Callithrix jacchus: one gene and its partner. The protein of the gene in region 1 purifies or fractionates together with the protein of each later gene. This does not show direct contact. Links are inferred from orthologs where the notes say so. Each region holds a gene or a part of one and is shown on either strand. Other genes may lie near its edges.

Region 1 (10,854 bases):
CACATCTGTAATCCTAGCTACTTGGGAGGCTGAGGCAGGAGAATCACTTGAATCTGAGAGGCAGAGGTTGCAATGGGCAGAGATTGCACTACTGCACTCTAGCCTGGGCAATACAGCAAGACTCTCAAAAAAAAAAACAACTCAAAAAATCATTAAGAAATAATGTGGTCAATTTTTCAGGATTTTCTGAGAGCTGTGTCATGGGCCATTGGTCACTCCTATTTGGCTCAGAAGAAACCTCTGCTGACCTTAGGTGCACTTCCTTTTTTTTTCTTTTCTTTTTTGTTTTTAGGTGCACTTCCTATGAGTTAGCCCTGCTCCACAAGAATAAGTACTGTTCAGTAAAAGATTGCTCTCTAAAAACACCAACAAAAAGAATAAATATCTTCAAATATTTTACAGAGTTTGACTCTTTTTTATGTTTTTTACGTTATGTTTTTGAGACAGAGTTTTGCTCTTGTTGCCCAGGCTGGAGTGCAATGGTGTGATCTCGGCTCACCTCCCAGGTTCAAGCAATTCTCCTGCCTCAGCCTCCGGAATAACTGGGCTTACAGGCACGCGCCACCACACCTGGCTAGTTTTGTATTTTTAGTAGAGTCAGGGTTTTTCCATGTTGGTCAACCTCAGGTGATCCCAATCTCAGGTGATCTGCCCACCTCAGCCTCCCAAAGTTCTGGGATTACAGGTGTGAGCCACTGCGCCTGGCCAAGTTCAATTCTTTTTTATCAACAAAGACCAGTGTGGGCAATATAGCAAGATCCTGTCTCAGCAAAAAATTTAAGAAATTAGCTGAGTATGGTGGCTTGTGTCTGTAGGTCCAGCTGCTTGGGAGGCTGAGGCAAGAGGATCATTTAAGCCCAGAAGTTCGAGGCTACAGTGAGCTATGATCCCACTACTGCACAGTGAGACTCTGTCTCCAATAAATAAATACCATAAAAATAAAATTTAAAAATTTAGGCCAGGCATGGTTACTCATGCCTGTAATTCCAGCATTTTGGGAGGCCCAGGCAAGAAGATTGCTTGAGCCCAGGAGTTTGAGACCAGCCTGAATAACAGGGGAAACCTGGCCTCTATAAAAAAAATTAGCTGAGCATAGTAGGGGCACCTGTGGTGTCCTACTTGGAGGCTGAGGTGGGAGGACTGCTTAAGCTAGGAGGCCAAGGATGCTTGAGCCCAGAGGTCATGATTGTGCCACTGCACTCCAGCTTAGGCGACAGAGTGAGACACGGCCTCAAAAAACAAAAAACAAGGGAGGGATCACGAGGTCAGGAGTTCGAGACCATCTTGGCTAATATGGTGAAACCCTATCTCCACTAAAAACACAAAAAATTAGCTGGACTTGGTGGTACGTGCCTGTAGTTCTTGCTACTCAGGAGGCTGAGGCAGGAGAATCTTTGAACCTGGGAGGTGGAGGTTGCAGTGAGCCAAGATGCGCCATTGTATTCCAGCCGGGGCAACAGAATAAGACTCGGTCTCAAAACAAAAACAAACAAAACTCCTATACTGTAGCTCTACAGCATTGAGTTTGGTGCTAAATAAATGTTAATGACATCTATTAATTGAGCAAATTATTTAAAGAGGCCTCAACTGGACCAGGTACTACTTCAGGAGCTGGGATATAGTTCCTGTCTTCATAATTTCTTGTAGTGGGAAACACACGTGTATATATATATCTGTGTGCCTGTGAGTGTGTGTGTGTGTGTGTGTGTGTGTGTGTGTGTATGTCTTTGTTTTTCTTTTTTGAAACAGGGTCTTGCTCTATGGCCCAAGCTGGAGTGCAGTGGCATGATCTGGGCTCACTGCAACCTCTACCTCCAGGGCTCAGGTGGTCCTCCCACCCCAGCCTCCTGAGTAGCTGGGAAGACAGGTGTGCACCACCATGGCTAGCTAACTTATTTTTTGTATTTTTAGTAGAAATAGGGTCTTGCTATGTTGCACAGGCTTGTCTCCAACTCCCGAGCTCAAGCAATCCTCCTGCCTCAGCCTCCCAAAGTGGAGTTGTAATTTTAGATAGGGTGTGAAAAACTTCACTGAGAGAGACAGTTGAAAAAACATCTGAAAGAGATGGGGGTTCAAGCCATCTGACTACGTGAAGAAAGAGCTTTCCAGGCAGAGGGACAAGCAATTCCGAAGGCCCTGAGGCTGAAGGAGATACTGAGGGGTAGAGCAGCTGGAGGCGAGAGAAATAATGGGGAAGTGCGAGAGGGATCAGCTGGGCCTTATAGGTCATGGTAAACATTTTAGCTTTTACTCTTTTTTTTTTTTTTTTTTCTTTTTTGAGACAGAGTCTCACTCTGTCATCGAGGCTGGAGTGCAGTGCGCAATCTTGGCTCACTGTAACGTCTGCCTCCCAGGTTCAAGTGAGTCTCATGCCTCAGCCTCCGGATTAGCTGGGACTGCAGGAGTGTGCCAACACGTCCAGCTAATATTTGTATTTTTTTGTAGAGATGCAGTTTCATCATATTGCCCAGGCTGATCTCAAGCCCCTGGCAAGTGATCTCAGCCCTCCAAAGTTCTGGGATTACAGGTGTGAGCCTCCACGTCTGGCCAGCCAATTGAATTTGTATGCATGATAGGATCCATCCAAATTCGAAGACCCAAAAATAACAGAATAATTAGTACAAGTCTTTGAGGCAATTAGGTGATTAGTATTAATTTTAATCAATGGGATTAAGCCAAGACTTCATTCAACTTGTCCAGAACATCAGTCAAGATTGTCAATTTAAAATGTTCTTGGAGACCGGTTGCGGTGGCTCACGTCTGTAATCCCAGCACTTTGGGAGGCTGAGGTGGGTGGATCACAAGGTTAGGAGTTTGAGACCAGCCTAGCCACCATGGTGAAAATCCCATCTCTACTAAAAATACAAAAATTAGCTGGGCATGGTGGCAGGCACCTGTAGTCCTAGCTACTTGGGAGGCTGAGGCAGGAGAATTGCTTGAACTTGAGAGGCAGAGGTTGCAGTGAGCCAAGATTGAGCCACTGCACTCCAGCGTGGGCTACAAGAGTGAAACTCCGTTTCAAATAAATAAATAAAATGTTCTTGGTCAGGCACAGCAGCATTCGCCTGTAGTCTCAGCTACTTGGGAAGCTGAAGCAAGAGGATTGCTTGAGGCTAGGAGTTCAAGCCCAGCCGAAGCAACCTTAAAAAAAATATTTTTTGCTGAGCACGGTGGCCCAAGCCTGTAATCCCAGCACTTTGGGAGGCCGAGGCAGGTGGATCACGAGGTCAAGAGATCGAGACCATCCTGGTCAACATGGTGAAACCGCGTCTCTACTAAAAATACAAAAAAAAATTATCTGGGCATGGTGGTGCATGCCTGTAATCCCAGCTACTCAGGAGGCTGAGGTAGGAGAATTGCCTGAACCCAGGAGGCGGAGGTTGCCATGAGCCAAGATCGTGCCATTGCACTCCAGCCTGGGTAACAAGAGCGAAACTCCGTCTCAAAAAAAAAAAAAACTCTGCCAGGCACAGTGGTTCATGCCTGTAATCTCAGTACTTTGGGAGGTCATGGTGGGTGGATAACTTTAGGTCAGGAGTTCGAGACCAGACTGGCCAACATAAGGAAACCCTGTCTCTACTAAAAATGCAAAAAGCGGCCAGGTGTGGTGCGACACGGCTGTACTTGGGAGGCTGAGGCAGGAGAATTGCATGAATCGGGGAGGCGGAGTTTGCAGTGAGCCAAGATGGCACCACTGCACTCCAGCCTGGGTGACAGAACAAGACTCTGTCTCAAGAAAAATAAAAAGAAAAAATATATATCATCTATATGTCTGTCTAGATCATAATTTGTGCCCTGTAGATTAAGGGAATGCGACTGGATTAGTGTGGAGGGGCGTTTTGTGGACCCAGGCAGGAGTTGGGAAGCATTTGTACTTTTGCTTTATGTCACAAGGACAGATGCCCCACAAAGGGCGAGATGTTTGTGTTCCTGGATCTTAGAACAGTGCCTGGAATATAACAGGTGTAGGGTTGCCAGCAAATAAAAAGGCAGATACTCAATTAAATTTAATCTTCAGATAATCAACAAATACTTTTTTAGTATAAGTATGTCCCATTCTGTATTTGGAACACACATATTAAACTGCTGTTTATCTGAAATTCAAATTTAAGTGGGTGTCCTTTACTTTATCTGGAACCCTACCAAAGAGCTCAATAAATATTTGCTGACTTAATAGACTGACGGTGTCGTTTCACCTGTAAAATGGGGCTAGTACCTGTCCCTGCCTCCATAAGGCTGATGGGCAGAATAAATGGCACTCAGTGAGCCCTCAATTTATTTGATTGCTCTGGGACTATCCGGCGAGCAGAAAGCCCTTCTACTTTCAAATACACAAACGATAAAAAGACCTCTAGGAGGCCAGAGGTTCCCAGGCTAGGCCTAGGTTACCCGCACCTGCGAGCCCGGCCAACCTCTTCCGGGTCAGGTGACCGCGCGCGGTCACGTGACCCGGCCCGAGTGCGGGCGGTGGAAGGCGGAAGTGGGAGAGGAGTTGGGTGCCGCTTCTGTGGCCACGGCAGGTAACTAGCGCCGGCGCGGGGGACGCGGCTGGCGGGCTGGCGGCGTGGGGCGGGCCGGGGGCGGCGGGCGGCGCGGAGTGGGCCGGGGGCGGCGCGGCCCGGGCGCCGGGGGGCGGCGGCTTCCTGTGGGAGGGGCCTGGCGTGGCGGTTCCGGCCTCCGAGGAGGGGTGTCCCGGCTCCCGCCCGAGCGGGGTGGGCGCGACGCGGGTAGCGCGGGGGCCGCTCGGAGATGGGCGCCCAGGCAGCCAAGTGTGCAGCTGGAGCGAGTCCTCCCTGAAGGGGAGAGGAGCCTAGGTGCCCAGGCATGGGGAGGAGCGATGTTTATGGAGGGATCGCGACCAGGGGAAGGGCGACTTGGGACTGAGCTGGAAGGGATGCCTGAGAATGGGTTTATGGCGTGGAGCGAGAGGGAGAAATCAGGAAGAAGATGCTCCCTGGACCCCCTCTGAGAGCCTCTCTCTTCCTTCCTTTTTGGAAATGATTGCTACCCGAGACTTTGATGACGGTCCCATTCAGTTTTTAAACTTCAGGAGGGATCACAGAATCTTGGTCGTCTTGCTTTCTTCGCACCCACTTACTCCTGCGTGGGTAGAGTTTCCGCTTCTTGGAAACCTAGCCCTTCGGATCATTTTTCTTTGAGATTTAATTGATCGGGTCATCATCGAGGTTTTAATAACAACAACAAAAGAATTAAAGAAGTGTGGGCACTTTGCTCTGCCCATAAAATGGCTTTTAGCCTACGCTGTTGACCTAGCCCAGCGTTACCTCAGCAACATAGTGACTGCTGAAATCTGGGACAGAGGAGTGTCTACCTAGACTGCTTTATGACTTTCCTCTTTCTTCCGTTTAAATTATTCAGTTTCACTTAGCATGTGACTGCTTATCTTGACGAACAGTAATTAGGCAGGGTGACTGAGAGGTCTGTGTTATGGTCCTTAGAACTGTGACCTGGATCATGATTTTGAGATTACTTGTGTTAATGCTGTTCATGCTCCTGTTTCTCATGTTTACTAAAATTTGCAGGAGCTGAAGGAGTTTCGTGAGTACAGTGTAACTAGAACGAATGTTCAGGCTGGACATTCACACAGCCAGCATCGTTTTGGGTTACAAGTAGGAAAAAGTACTTTGCTAATATATTATGGGTTCAAGTTTTTGGAGTTATTTGACAAACATTTAAAAATTAGTTTTTGTAGCATCTCCTGTGAGTGAGGTTGGGAAGGTATTATTCTCATTTCACAGGAAACAAACAGACTTAAGAGAGACGACTTAATTTTTTTTTTTTTTTTTCGAGACGGAGTCTCACTGTCACCATGTTGGAGTGCAGTGGCGCGATCTCAGGCTCACTGCAACCTCCCCCCCCCACCCCCCGGGTTCAAGCGATTGTCCTGACGACTTGATTTTTTAAAACAATGTATTGTTCTTTCTTGTTTGCTGGTCTCTTCTTCCTGCTAGACTGCAAATCCCTCAACGGCAGGTTTCATATTTTATTTGGCTACCAGCCTAGTGCCTTGCATGTTATGGGCACTTGATAAAAAATGTTTGGTGAATAAATGCATTTCTAAAGGTCACACTGGTGTAAGTGGTGACAAGGGGTTTGAACCCAAGTCTTCTACTCTTTGTCTTGTCAGACAGATTTGTGATTATGTGTGTCATTGGTCCATATGAAAAGCGGCTTGAGAGAAAGGCTTGGTTTAGCTTCTTAGTCCCTTTGACTTCATGATTACTTTCCCATATACAAAGAACATATACGAACATCTCACTTAACCTTCCCTGTGAAATTTGGATGGTCAGTATTGTCCCTATACCTCAGATGAAGAAACTGAGGCTTAATGAAGTCCTTACTGTAGACTGAAGAGCTAGTAAATGAGTAGGGACTCAAGCCTAGGCCGTTCTAGTCCCTAGAACAATTCTTTTTCATTTATTGACACAATAGAAAATTTTATTTTTATTTTGAGACAGGGTTTCACTCTTGCCCAGGCTGGAGTGCAGTGGCACGATCACGGCTCACTGTAACCTTGACCTACCTGAGCTCGGATGATCCTCCCACATCAGTCTTCCAAATAGCTGGGACTACCGGTGGGTGCCACCTCACCCGGCTAATTTTTGTATTTTTTGTAGAGAGAGGGGTTTTGCCATATTGCCCAGGCTGTTCTCAAACTCCTGGGCTCAAGCGATCTGCCCACCTCCGCCTCTTAAAGTATTGTGATTACAGGTGTAAGCCACCGTGCCCAGATGAAAGTTTTATTTTTGCATAATTTTTCAAGTGTAAAAAGTGTGATGTTTTAAGAAAAAGTAGTATAGATCACATAGAAAATGTGAATGTAGGATGTGAGTAAATGAAGTTTAGAAAACCCTGTGCTCTACCATAGCTGCCTCTTCCTGTGAAAACCTTCTTTCATCCAGTGAATATAAGTACCTACTCTGTCTATGCCAGGCTTTGCTGTAGAGTCCAGTGTGGTAAACACTAGCCACATGGGGCTGTTGAGCACTGGAGCTATGCTGGGAGCATAAAATACATTCTGGATTTTAAAGACTTAGCATGAAGAAAAAGTAAAATGTCTCATTGATACTTCTATTTTATTTATTATTTTTTTAGAGGCATGGTTTCACCATGTTGGTCAGGCTGGTCTCGAACTCCTGACCTCAGGTGATCCGCCCACCTTGGCCTCCCAAAGTGCTGGGATTACAGGCGTGAGCTACCGTGCCCGGCTGATACTTTTATAGTAAATTATCGTATAATGTATAAACATGTATAACATTTTAGATTTATTGGGTTAAATACATCGTAATTATAAATAGTTGGTCAGGCATGGTGGCTCACGCCTATAATTCCAGCACTTTGGGAAGCCAAAGTGGATGGATTGCTTGAGTCTAGGAATTTGGGACTAGCCTCGGCAACATGGCGGAAGCCTGTCTCTACAAAAAAATACAACTATTAGCCAGGTGCAGGCTACTCAGGAGGCTGAGGCGGGAGGATCACCCAAGCCTGGGGAGGGGGGTGGATGGAGGCTGCAGTGAGTTGTGATCATGCCACTGCTCTCCAGCCTCAGTGACAGAGTAAGACCCTGTCTCAAAAAAGAAAAAGAGAAAATGTTTCACCTTTTTGCCTTTTTTCCCCACAGCCTTGACTTGAAACCCAGCACTTTTTTCTTTTTAAAATGTGTTTCCTAGAAAAATAAAAAATTATGTATGTAGGCCATGCGTGGTGGTTCACGCCTAAAATCCCAGCACTTTGGGAGGCTGAAGCGGGTGGATCACCAGGTCAAGAGATCGAGACCATCCTGGTCAACAAGGTGAAACCCCGTCTCTACTAAAAATACAAAAATTAGCTGGGCACAGTGGCGCGTGCCTGTAATCCCAGCTACTCAGGAGGCTGAGGCAGGAGAATTGCTTGAACCCAGGAGGCGGAGGTTGCAGTGAACTGAGATCATGCCATTGCACTCCAGTCTGTCCAGTCTGGGTAACAACAGTGAAACTCCGTCTCAAAAAAAAAAAAAAATATATGTATGTGGCTTGCACTTGTGGCTCCTATCTTATTTCTGTTGGACAAACCTGTTCTGAATGCCGGGCATATGGCAGTATGAGAAAGGCAAGGCTCTCCGCTCTTGTGGACCTTAAATTGTATTAGAGAAGGGCACATTGATAACTAAGTAGAATATATATTTTGTTGTAAGCAAGCAGGGAAGAGAGATATGGGGTTGCAGTTTAAATAGGATTCTGACCAGGTGCCATGGCTCATGTGTATAATCCCAGCAGTTTTGGAGGCTGAGGTGGGTGGATCACTTGAGGTCAGGAATTCAAGAACAGCCTGACCAACATGGTGAAACCCCATTTCTACTTAAAATACAAAAATTTAGCTGGGTTTGGTGGCACATGCCTGTAATTCGAGGTACTCGGGAGGTTGGGACACGAGAATCGCTTGAATTCGGGAGGCAGAGGTTGCAGTGAGATTGCACCGCTATAGCCTGGGTGACAAAGTGAGACTCTGTCTTGCTTTTGTAGAGATGGGGGTCGGGGGGGGTCTCACTGTTGCTCAGGCTGGTCTTGAACACCTGGCCTCAAGCCATCCTGCCTTGGCCTCCCAAAGTGCTGAGATTACAGGCGTGAACCATTGCACCTGGATAAGTCTCTGAACTCTAAATACCATCCACATGCTGACAGCTTCCATATGTGTCTGTCTAGCCTCAGCCTGTCTCCAGACTTCTAGATCTAATTGCCACAATATCTTCAACTTGATTCCTATCAGGCATTTTGTAATCAACATCACCAAAATTGAGCCCCATCCCTGCTCCTCATGCAGCCTTCCCCATCTCAGTTAATGACAACTCCATTCCTCCAGCTGTTCAAGCCAAAGACCTTGGCGTCACCCATGACTCCTCTCTTCCTCTCACACGCCACATCCAACCCAACTCGTCCACAAAGCCTACTGACTGTACTTCAGAGTACACCCCAGATGCATCTTTCCTCTGGATGATGGCAGCAGCCTCCTAACTTGTCTCCCTGCTTCCACTCTGGCTGATCTTCACTTTCTCCACACTGGACCCAGAGCGAGTCTGTTAAAAGGCAGGATGGATCCTGTCCAGTCCACTGCTCAACTCAAACCCTCCAATTGTCCCAGCTTAACCTGAATGAAAAATCAATACTGTACAATGGCCTGCAAGGCCTCCTGTGACCCGATCGCTCCTCCCACACCCACTACCACTCTGACCTCCTCTCTCCACTCCTGCTCACTCACTCCCTTCCAGGCACACTGGCCTCCTGGCTGGTCCCAAAACCTGCCAGGGGTACTCCTTCTTTGGGGCTTTTGAACTCTGCCAGGACCCCTTCACCCCCATTCAGCCACACGGCCCCTTCCTTTCCTTACCTCCTCAGATCTTTACTCAGCTGTCACCTTCAGAGAGAGGCTTTTCTAGGGATCCTATTTTATTTTATTTTTGGAGTCTTGTTCTGTTGGCCAGCCTGGAGTGCAGTGACATGATCTCGGCTCACTGCAACCTTTGGCTCTCAGGTTCAAGTGACTCTCCTGCCTCAGCGTCCCAAGTAGCTGGGGTTATAGGCATCTGCCACCACTTCCAACTACTTTTTGTATTTTTAGTGCAGACGGGGTTTCAACACATTGGCCAGGCTGGTCTCAGACTCCCAACCTCAAGTGATCCACCTTTCTTGGCCTCCCAAAGTGCTGGAATAGTTTTTTTTTTTTTTTTTTAAATCTTTTTGACAACCACAAGCTAATGAGTTTCTTTTTTCTTAAGGAGGCTTTTCTTCCAACTATGCATCTTTATAGCACCTCTAAAATCAATTTAAGTGCCAATTTCTGGATAGAGGCCTCTAGGATGGATGGGTAATGGGCTTTTTATGTTTAAAATATGTATTGTTTTTTCCAAACATGTATTGAATTCATGTTGGTTGTCAGGCATCCCACCATTTTAGATTTTTTTTTTTTGAGACAGAGTTTCGCTCTTGTTTACCCAGGCTGGAGTGCAATGGCGCAATCTCGGCTCACCGCAACCTCCGCCTCCTGGGTTCAGGCAATTCTCCTGCCTCAGCCTCCTGAGTAGCTGGGATTACAGGCACGCGCCACCATGCCCAGCTAATTTTTTTGTATTTTTAGTAGAGACGGGGTTTCACCATGTTGATCAGGATGGTCTCAATCTCTTGACCTCGTGATCCACCTGCCTCGGCCTCCCAAAGTGCTGGGATAACAGGCGTGAGCCACCACGCCCGGCCCATTTTAGATGTTTAACCTTGTTGAGGTGAAGTGACCCTTACGAGGTCAGGTAGCTAAGAAATGAAAGAGCTGGCCATTTGAATCTTGGTCTTCAGAGTCCAGATCTGGTCCTTCTACCACTTATCATTAGTGAGTGGCTGTATGAACATAAACTCCCACTGGAATCTAATCAGTGTGAGTTGCTTTTGAGCAACTTAGAGTCCCTTAGGACTATTATGTGTCTCAGGCAGAAAAGGAGTTTACCAGGTAAAGAAAGGCAGATTTATTTTTTTAATTAAATTTAAATTTTCTTTTAAAGACAAGATTTCACCATATTGATCAGGCTTGTCTCGAACTTCTGACCTCAGATGATCTGACCACTTCAGCCTCCCAAAGTGCTGGGATTACAGGTGTGAACCACTGAGCCCAGCAGGCAGATTTATTAAAGTATGAAAACATGTTGCAAGGGCAGCACAGCAGAGAAGGGGCTGTCTGCAAAGAGGCAGGAGATGGAGGGAAGACTTATAGGCTCGCGCTGGAGGGGGCTGTGTGTTGACCGATGTGTCTGAGGGTTGTTTGTGATTAGTTATTTCTCAGAACAGCTGTTTATGTTCCCCCGCTCCTCCC
Region 2 (10,422 bases), on another chromosome or scaffold:
CCTGGTGCAGGCACAAATACTGATCGGAATCTACCTAGTCCCATCTTCTATCCAGGAGTTGCAAATAGGTACTTTTATCTAGTCGAAGAGCTTTACAGAAGCCTGAGCGCTATAAACACAGGTATTTCCTCAATATAGAAATTTTTAGACCCTAATGACAACTAAACTACACCACTACTGGGACCGACCCTGGACCCAGAATTCTCCCCAAGGAAAACTTCAATATGAACTGGATATTCAGTAACAGGAAATATTTGTCAATGTTCCGAAGTGCTATAGTGCCCATTATAGAGCGAAGTATATTTTCGAAACACATACTTATTTCAGAATCAAGTATTATGTTGACTGCTTTCAAATGCTTCCTAGCAATGAAATACAGATAAAGCAAATAGCGTATCTTTTACATCAAGGTGGTAAACACATAGGTATCAATGTACTAGTCCTTCTAGGTTTTCTGTAAGTATAAACTTTTTCGTAAAAAAAAAAAAAACAAACTTGAAATGGCCAGGCGCGGTGGCTTATGCCTGTAATCCAAGCACTTTGGGAGGCCAAGGTGGGCAGATCACCTGACGTCGGGAGTTCAAGACCAGCCTGACCAACATGGAGAAACCCCACCTCTACTAAAAATACAAAATTAGCCAGATGTGGGGGCACATGCCTGTAATCCCAGCTACTCAAGAGGCTGAGGCAGGAGAATTGCTTGAACCTGGGAGGTGGAGGTTGCAGTGAGCCGAAATTGTGCCACTGAACTCCAGCCTGGGCAACAAGAGTGAAACTCTGCCTAAAAAAACAAAAAAACTCAAAAACCAAAAACTGAAATCTCACACCACTGGCATATTTACCACTTTTTATATATAAACCTAAAACACTAACAGTATCACTGAAGCAGCTTATTGATGCTCAGGTCCCATCTAGTAATGCTATTTGTCATGCCTCAGGTCTAATAAATTTTATTAAAACCAGAATGACTAGATGCTATGGTCTGAATGTGCACCCTCCCACCCAATTCATACACTGAACCCTTCACTGATGTGACAGTATTAAGAGGTGGAGTCTTCAGCCGGTGATTAAGTCATGAGAGAACATCCCTCATGAAGGGGATCAATGCCCTTATTAAGAGGCTTCAGGGCCAGGTGCAGTGGCTCACACCTGTAACCCCAGCATTTTGAGAGGCTGAGGCGTGGCATGGCAGGGGTGGTGGTGGTGGTGAGGGGGGAATCACAAGGTCAAGAGATCAAGACCATCCTGGCCAACATGGTGAAACTTCGTCTCTACTAAAAATACAAAAATTAGTTGGATGTGGTGTCTGTAGTCCCAGCTACTTGGGAAGCTGAGGCAGAATTGCTTGAACCCGAGGTGGAGGTGGCAGTGAGCTGAGATCGTGCCACTGCACTCCAGCCTGGCAACAGAGCGAGACTCTGTCTCAAAAATGAATAAATAAACAAATAAACTTTAAAAAATAAAAATAAGAGGCTTCAGGCCTGGCACAATGACTCATGCCTGTAATCTCAGCATTTGGGATGCAGAAACAGGTGGACTGCTTCAGGTCAGGAATTCAAGGCCAGCCTGGGCAACATGGTGAAACCCCATCTCTACAAGACACAATTAGCTAGGCATGGTTGCTTGCGCCTGTGGTTCCAGCTATTCAAGAGGCTGAGGTGGGAGGATCACTTGAGCCTGGGAGGTTGAGGCAGTGAACTTTGATCATGATGCCTGGACGACAGAGCAAGACCCTGTATCCAAAAAATTAAAAATAAAAAAACAGCTGCCTGGCCCTTCCATCCTTCTACCATAAGGCCACTGTTCATTCCCTACAGAAGACGCAGAAAAAAGGTACCATCTCAGACCAGAGAGCTGCCCTTGCCAGACACTGAACCTACCAGCATCTGGATCTTGCATTTGCCAGCCTCCACAACTGTGAGAAATAAATTCCTATTATTTATAGGTACCCAGTATCTAAGGTATTCTGTTACAGCAGCAGGAACAAACTAAGACCCTAAAACTTTCAAATTCATTTAGCTTTCTGGTGAAGTGAGGGTTTGACAACCCATCTTTTTGTTGTTTCATTATGTTCCCAAATTCTTTCCTGATTTTGCAAACATAATACAATGAGCCTAACAATGTTTCACAGATTGTGCAAGGTCTCCTGGTGGCTATTTTCAACAGCAATATGCTATTCAGCCCCGTAGAAAACAATTTTTGACTGTCTAACAGAATTGCTGACCAGGCTTTTAATCTGTAACAGCATGAGGTTGCTTTAGCCAAGTAATTCCCTAGCATGAGTCATTTTAAATCTGCTTTTAAACACCTTGATAACTACCACTGATTAGTGCCTAACTATGTGCTGGGGCATTACATACTTCTCGGGTGGCTCACAGAACCCCTGGCACATACGTGGAAATGCCAGTAAAGATGGTACTGTGCTCCTCAGTTGCCATCTAGCACATGCCTGGATCGTGACTCTGGGCTGCCTTCCAAGTCTCTTTCCATTCCACATTAGTGCCAATCAGCACATGTAAGTGCCTCAGGATCCAACTCTGCAGTACTCACTTCAGCAGTAGGCACACCCAAACTGGAACAATACGGAGAAGACAGCATGGCCACTGCCCAAGAATGACATGCAAATGTATCAAGCATTAAAAAATAAAAGTTAACTCTGCAGGTTCAAGGAGTAAGCAATTTCATTTATTTTCAACTGATACTATCAGTTGGTATGCTACCAAATTCTTGCACTGATTTCTATGAAGCAAGCTGACTTAGCTATCTGTCTATACTAGCTCATCTGCCTGAGATACTAAGAATAGTGAACATTTACTGGAACATACTGTAAGTCAGACACCTCTAGGCTCTTCATAATTTCCTCTTCATTCAACCTTCTCAAAATATCCATGGGGAGATACTATTATTATCCACATTTCTTAACTGAGAACACCAATGAGGCTCAAAGAAGTGAAGTTGCTTAAGGATAAAAAGATTATTTCCAGCCGTGCTCGGTGGCTCACGCCTGTAATCCCAGCACTTTGGGAGGCTGAGGTCGGTGGATCACGAGGTCAAGAGAGTGAGACCATCCTGGTCAACATGGTGAAACCCCGTCTCTACTAAAAATACAAAAAATTAGCTGGGCATGGTGGTGTGTGCCTGTAATCCCAGCTATTCCGGAGGCTGAGGCAGGAGAATTGCCTGAACCCAGCAGGCAGAGGTTGTGGTGAGTCAAGATCGCGCCATTGCACTCCAGCCTGGGTAACAAGAGCGAACTCCGCCACAAAAAAAAAAAAAAAAAAAATTATTTCCTTCAAACATTGATCAAGAATATTAATTATTTAGAAATGTCAGCTAGGCGCAGTGACTCATGCCTATAATCCCAGCACTTTGGGAAGCCGAGGTGGGTAGATCACCTGAGGTCAGGAGTTCGAGACGAACCCGGTCAACATGGCGAAACCCTGTCTCTCCTATAAATGCAAAAAATTAGTCATGTGTGGTCGCGGGCACCTATAATCCCAGCTACTTGGGGAGGCTGAGGCAGAGAACTGCTTGAACCTGGGAGGCAGAGGCTGCAGTGAGCCAAGATTGTGCCATCGTACTCCAGCCTGGGCAACAGACCCAGATTCTGTCTCAAAAGAGAAAAAAAGGAAAGAAATCAGTTTTCAGAAACTGTATTTATAAAAATGTTTTTATTTTTGCCTTATCTAGTAGCAAACATAAAACTATGCTGACTATAAAAGCCAACACTATTCTTTCTCCTTTTTCCTTGGACCCCAAGTTCATATACAGTCAAGCAAATGCCCCAAAGAAAAATCCCAGAATTCAAGAGGTGTCTTTCCTTCAGAAAAATCAAAGCTAGAATGTTTAGCTATTAAAGTGTTTCCCCCCAGACTGAGATCAAGTGACTTCATTGCAGTGGCTCAAGAGTAGCTGACTCCCTCCTTCCAAATCAGCCCATCATAGAACACCTATTGCTAAGTAGCAAGCCAGAGGCTTAGATTGGAGACTTCAAAGTCTTCAGAACTTCAAGCCTGGCCTATGAAGCAAAAATTTTTTTAAGTACAACTGCAATTTTATTTTTCTCCAAAGAATAGTTTTTCTTCAGTCCTTCAGAACTCCGCTCCTTACATGGGCTTTGGTGGGGGTCAGGGGCAGCACCTGCAGGTCTACATTGGTGGAGGTGTTTGGTCCTTGCGGGTTTCATGAGCTTGATTCCTGACTACCGGGCTATGAATGGCACAACTCACACAGTTGTGTAATCTCACATTCAGCCTATGAAGTACACAGGCGTCAAGGACGCCCGCTTCAGAAACATTGCTAATTGCTGCAGCCTCTACATGTCAAATGATATATTTCTTAAAAGCCTTGTCATTGGGCACACAATGGGCATAGTTCATGCAGCAAATAGGTTGGAGTGCACAGCGTACACCTGGCTGCAGCCCTCTTTGGCATGACCACTGTTTCTTCTTTTCTTTGTTATGTTTGAGGTACAGGCCCAAGAAAGATGAAGTAGAATCTTAATTTGAGGGTGACTAAATGAGTCCTTCAAGACCACTTGCCCCAAATCCACATTCTGCAAGACAGTTCAAGAAAAAAGGCAAAGTAGCCATCTCGCTCAAGGCTATGGGCTCCACAATACTTAGCACAGTTGTCCCCAAGTGTAAACACTTCCCATGGCATGCTTCTTCCCTGTCCCCTAGGTTAGGCACAATAATACCAGGGCATTCTGTCATGAACACTCTCATCTTTTAAGGTGGTGCACACCTGTGGCCCCAGCTATTTGGGAGGCTGAGGCAGGGGGTCAAGGCTGCAGTGAGCTGCGACTATACCACTGCACTCCTCTAGCCTGGGCAAGAGTTAAGACCCTAATTCCATTAAGACAAAAACAGGCATTTCAAACAATAACAGCGGTTTAATTATTCCTTTTGCATCTATGTAAAACAGGTCTTTCTCTATAAAGTCTACTATGCTCTGGTCTAGTTTCAAAAAGTATAAACATACTGAAATTAAAACGTGAAATATTGGCCGGGCGGTGGCTCAAGCCTGTAATCCCAGCACTTTGGGAGGCCAAGGCAGGCGGATCACAAGGTCAAGAGATCGAGACCATCCTGGCCAACATGGTGAAACCCCATCTTACTAAAAATACAAAAATTAGCTGGGTGTGGTGGCATGCACCTGTAGTCCCAGCTACTCGGGAGGCTGAGGCAAGAGAATTGCTTGAACCTGGAGGTGGAGGTTGCAGTGAGCCGAGATTGTGCCACTGCATTCCACCCTGGCACCCGGCGACAGAGTAAGACTCCGTCTCAAAAAAAAAAAAAAAAAAGGGAAATATTAAGAAAAGATGACGTGGAGGCCAAAAACCATGAATGAGGTAGTCAATAGTGTGGCTTATGTGACACACCCACCTCACACTTCCCAGAGGCACATTCAGGAAAGCCACTAGCAGCCACTGCACAAGGCTGCTCCAAGATTACCTGTCACCTGGACCTATGAGTTATTTGAAACAGCAACCTAACCCAATGCCAAGCTGGGCTATTTTCTCCAAAGGAATTCTCAACTGTCTTCTGCAGTAGAATTTCTGTGCAAGTCAGCCCCAGCCCCTGGGAAGGTGGTGGTACGCCTGGGGACATGGTTTCTCTGAGAAGCAGTGACATCTGGAGATTAATACTGAAAGCTGCGCTTCGTCTGGATATCGTCAAGAATCTGCTGCAGCTCCTCATCTTCAAACCGCCCCTCCAAGCTACAACAAGAAAACCGAAAGAATGAGTGACTTGGCAACTGGCAATTTCCTCACACTCTTCTTTGAGGCGTGATAATCTGCCTATATCTCTAACACCTTTACCTTTCATCTGTATTTCTTTTCCACTTTTCCTGAAAAAACATTACAAAATATTTCCAACATGTAAAAGATAAAAGCTATAAAAAATAAACCTTTACAGTTAGCCCCACTTGACTTAGAGTGTTTTTTTTTTGAGATGGAGTCTCGCTCTGTCACTCAAGCTGTAGTGCAATGGCGTGATCTCTGCTCACTGCAACCTCTGCCTCCCAGGTTCAGGCAATTCTTAAGAGTTATTTTATTTATTTATTTTTAAATTTTTATTTATTTTTTGAGAGGGAGTTTCACTCGTCCCCCAGCCTGGAATGCAGTGGCGTGATCTTGGCTCACCGAAACCTCCCCTTCTGGGTTCAAGTGATTTTCCTACCTCAGCCTATTGAGTAGCTGGGATTACAGAAAACCGCCACCACGCCCAGCTAATTTTTATGATTTTAGTAGAGACAGGGTTTTACCCTGTTGGCCAGGCTGGTATGAAAGTCCTGACCTCAGGTGATCTGCTCGCCTCAGCCTCCCAAAGTGCTAAGATGGCAGGCGTGAGCCACCCCGCCTGGCCAGAGTTCTTTAACAAGCAGGAAAAGTCGTTGGCTATGTATACTACCCTAGACCTATACCTTCCCTTCTCCCCCAGGAATAACCACAATTTATCATTGCCTTACATTTAAATTTTTACTTGCCACATATATATTTATATTTACTACACATTTATGGATATATAATATGCAGTAGCTTCAAACTTTATAAGAAATGGCATTGGCTGGGTGCGGTAGCTCACGCCTATAATCCTAGCACTTTGGGAGGCCGAGGTGGGTAGATCACAAGGTCAAGAGATCGAGACCATCCTGGTCAACAAGGTAAAACCCCGTTTCTACTAAAAATACAAAAATTAGCTGGGCATGCTGGTGCATGCCTGTAGTCGCAGCTACTCGGGAGGCTGAGGCAGGAGAATTGCCTGAACCCAGGAGGCAGAGGTTGCGGTGAGCCGAGATTGTGCCATTGCACTCCAGTCTGGGTAACTACAGCAAAACTCCGTCTCAAAAAAAAAAAGAAAAGAAAAGAAATGGCACTATACTGTATTTATCCTTCTGCAATTTTTTTTCCTCAAAATTCATTCTGGCATGTGTTGATATTATTCCATGTTGTTCTAGTGCATTTTTTTCACTGCTGTACAATAAACACTGTTATGACTATACAATGATTCATTTATGCATTTTCTTATTGATCAAGAGATTATCAAATTTCTGCTATCATTAACAATGCAGCATAAGGCTGGGCGCCATGGCTTATGCCTGTAATCCCAGCACTTCGAGAGGCCAAAACAGGCAGATCACCTGAGACCAAGAGTTTGAGATCAGCCCGGCCAACATGGCAAAACCCCATGTCTACTTAAAAAAAATGCAGCAATGAACACTGGAATATACATATCCTTGTAAACTTGTGTGAGTTACCTTTAGGATATGTACCCAGGCAGCTTGGCCAAGATGGTGAAACCCCCATCTCTACTAAAAATGCAAAAACTAGACAGGTGTGGTGGCAGGCACCTGTAATCCCAGTTACTCAGGAGACTGAGGCAGGAGAATCACTGGAACCCCGGAGGTAGAGGTTAAAGTGAGCTGAGATTGCACCACTGCACTCCAGCCTGGGTGACAGAGTGAGACTCTGTCTAAAAAAAAAAAAAGATACATACCCAGGAATGGATTTTTGGAACATGGAGTACATTCGTCTTTACTAGACATAGCCAAATTGCTCTCCAAAATGGTTGTTCTAATTAATGCTCCTACCATCAGTATACGGAAGTCCAGCTGTTCCTCATTTTTACTATCACTTGGTATCACTCTCACTGTTAAAACGGCACTTTAATTCAATATTGGCAATTATGTATGCAAATATAAAATGCTTATGCATTTTATTATTTTTTTTAATTTTTATTTTTTGAGACGGAGTTTCGCTGTTGTTACCCAGACTGGAGTACAATAGCATAATCTCAGCTCACCGCAACCTCCACCTTCTGGGTTCAAGCAATTCTCCTGCCTCAGCCTCCTGAGTAGATGGGACTACAGGTGCGCACCACCATGCCCAGCTAATTTTTGTATTTTTAGTAGAGACGGGATTTCACCTCCTTGACCAGGATGGTCTTGATCTCTTGACCTCGTGATCCACCCACCTCAGCCTCCCAAAGTGCTGGGATTATAGGCGTGAGCCACCACGCCCGAGAAAATGCATAAACATTTTAGATACACCAATTATATTTGCAGAAATTTATCCAGTATACAGAGAACTGATTACAACTGGTACTAACCTTGGGATTAAAGCCTTGGACTCCTCAGCAGTCTCTGGGCAAAGGTTGGCCAAACAGGCCAACTCAAACTTATGAAGCTTTTTCTGGAGTAGCAAGCTGATCAACAGGGGAAAAAAAAAATACCGAAACAAATTAAAACCAAATAAACAACAAAAATCAAATAATAATCAACAGGAAAAAAGGGATCAAATGTAGCTAGCATTTAAAAATAGCTAGACGGCTGGGTGTAGTGGCTCACGCCTATAATTCCAGCACTTTGAGAAGCCAAGGTGGGCGGATCACTTGAATGAGGAGTTCGAGACCAGCCTGAGCACCATGGCAATACCCCATCTCTACTAAAAATACAAAAATTAGCCGGGTGTGGTGATATGTGTCTGTAGTCCCAGCTACTTGGGAGGCTGAGGCATGAGAATCGCTTGAACCTGTGAGGCGGAGGTTGCAGCGAGCCGAGATTGCACCACTGCACTCCAATCTGGGTGATGAAGTAAGATTCTGTCTCAAAAATGTAAAAAGGTAGAGGAGGCTGGGCATAGTGGCTTGTGCCTGTAATCCTAGCAGTTTGGGAGGCCAAGATGGGAGGATCACTTGAGCCCAGGAGTTCAAGACCAGCCTGGGCAACATGGTCTCTAAAATAAATAAATACATACATAAAATAAAAATAGCTACAGGAGAAGTCTTGAAATGTTCCTAATACATAATCAATACCCTAAACACCCTAACATACTCATTGTACATTCTAAGTAACAAAGTATCACATGTACCTCATACCTATGTACAAATACTATTATTTAAAAAAATGTAGGCTGGGCGTGGTGGCTCACCTCTAATCCCAGTGCTTTGTTTTTTGGGTTTTTTTTTTTTAAATGGAGTCTCACTCTGTCACCCAGTCTGGAGTGCAATAGAGCAATCTCAGCTCCCTGCTACCTCTGCCTCCTGGGTTCAAGCAATTCTCCTGTTTCAGTCTCCTGAGTACCTGGGACTACAGGCATGTGCTATCATGCCCAGCTAAGTGATGTTTGTATTTTTAGTAGAGATGAAGTTTCACCATGTTGGTCAGGCTGGCCTCAAACTCCTGACCTCAAGTGCTCTGCCCGTCTTGGTCTCCCAAAGTGCTGGAATTACAGGTATGAGCCACTACATCCAGTTAATCCCAGAACTTTGGGAGGCTAAGGTGGGAAGATCAACTGAGGCCAGGAGCTTGAGACCAGCCTGGGCAAAATAGTAAGTCTCCCCATCTCTACAAAAAAAATAACAACAAAAAAACTTTTACCTACTAATAGTACCATTTAGATCACACATACTGGACTTATGTGACAGATTCACATTTGAGTCTGCTTCCAGACTAGAAGGCAGTGGCACAATCACAGCTCACTGCAGCCTCAACCTCCCAGGCTCGGATGGTCCTCCACTTCAGCCTCCCAAGTAACTAGGACCACAGGTACTTGCCACCACACCTGTATAATTTTGGTATTTTTTTATAGAGAGGAGTTTTACCATGTTGCCCATGTTTGTCTCTAACTCCTGGCCTCAACTGACTGGCCCACCTCAGCCCCACAAAGTGTGAATTGCAGGTGTAAGCCACCACACCTGGCTGAAATTTTGGTCTTAAAAGCAATTTTTAGATTTTTAAGACTTTTTTTTTGAGAGTTGCCCATGCTGGAGTGCAGTGGTACAATCTCAGCTCACTGTAACCTTGGCCTGCAGGTTCAAGCGATTCTCCCGCCTCAGTTTCCTGAGTAGGTGGGATTAATGGTGTGTACCACCACACCTAGCTAATTTTTTGTATTTTTAGCAGAGGTTTTTGTGATGTTGGCCAGGCTGGTCTTGAACACCTGTCCTCAAGTGACCTGCTGCCTCAGCCTCCCAAAGTGCTGGGATTATAGGTGTGAGCTACCATGCCCAGCCCAACATTATTTTACTTAAATTCACAGGTGACACCTGGGAAAGGGCAAGGGGATAGCATTCTACATGCAGCTGTCTAATGGTATGAATTAATAAAAATTTCCTTTAAGCACTCACCTACGAACACTGGCAATGGTCTCTCTATTTTTGAAACGACTGAAACGGGCTGTGTAGTTTAATGTTTTCATGAAGACTTCTGAGAGTTCTTGTTCATCCTCTGCGCTCTCATTCTGCTGCTTTCGATGTTCCAGAAGCATATGAACTTCTGAATTTAGAAGTGTCTCAGCTGTTTCAAACTCTATTTGTGAGAAGCATAAATGGCAGCTGAAAATACTCCTTCGAAAGTTTGTTTCTAAATGTTCATTTTGCATTTGAACATTTCTCTGCCCTGCAGAAATCCAGTGGT

The links. The genes of interacting proteins can lie anywhere in the genome.
Region 2: the proteins of WWP2 (region 1) and POLR2D purify together in Homo sapiens (affinity purification with mass spectrometry; 3 studies listed by BioGRID and IntAct, with this or other methods). This does not show direct contact. The link is inferred for Callithrix jacchus from reciprocal best matches to the Homo sapiens genes WWP2 and POLR2D.

Annotation. Positions count from the first base shown.
Region 1 is NC_133521.1:27,340,664-27,351,517, forward strand, and holds the start of WWP2 (NEDD4-like E3 ubiquitin-protein ligase WWP2), read left to right. Parts: upstream 1-4,446; 5' UTR 4,447-4,520; intron 4,521-4,661; exon of another isoform or gene 4,662-4,814; intron 4,815-10,854. UniProt on the Homo sapiens protein: E3 ubiquitin-protein ligase which accepts ubiquitin from an E2 ubiquitin-conjugating enzyme in the form of a thioester and then directly transfers the ubiquitin to targeted substrates.
Region 2 is NC_133507.1:36,567,744-36,578,165, reverse strand, and holds the end of POLR2D (DNA-directed RNA polymerase II subunit RPB4), read right to left. Parts: intron 10,315-10,422; coding exon 10,134-10,314; intron 8,211-10,133; coding exon 8,115-8,210; intron 5,723-8,114; coding exon 5,644-5,722; 3' UTR 4,875-5,643; downstream 1-4,874. UniProt on the Homo sapiens protein: Core component of RNA polymerase II (Pol II), a DNA-dependent RNA polymerase which synthesizes mRNA precursors and many functional non-coding RNAs using the four ribonucleoside triphosphates as substrates.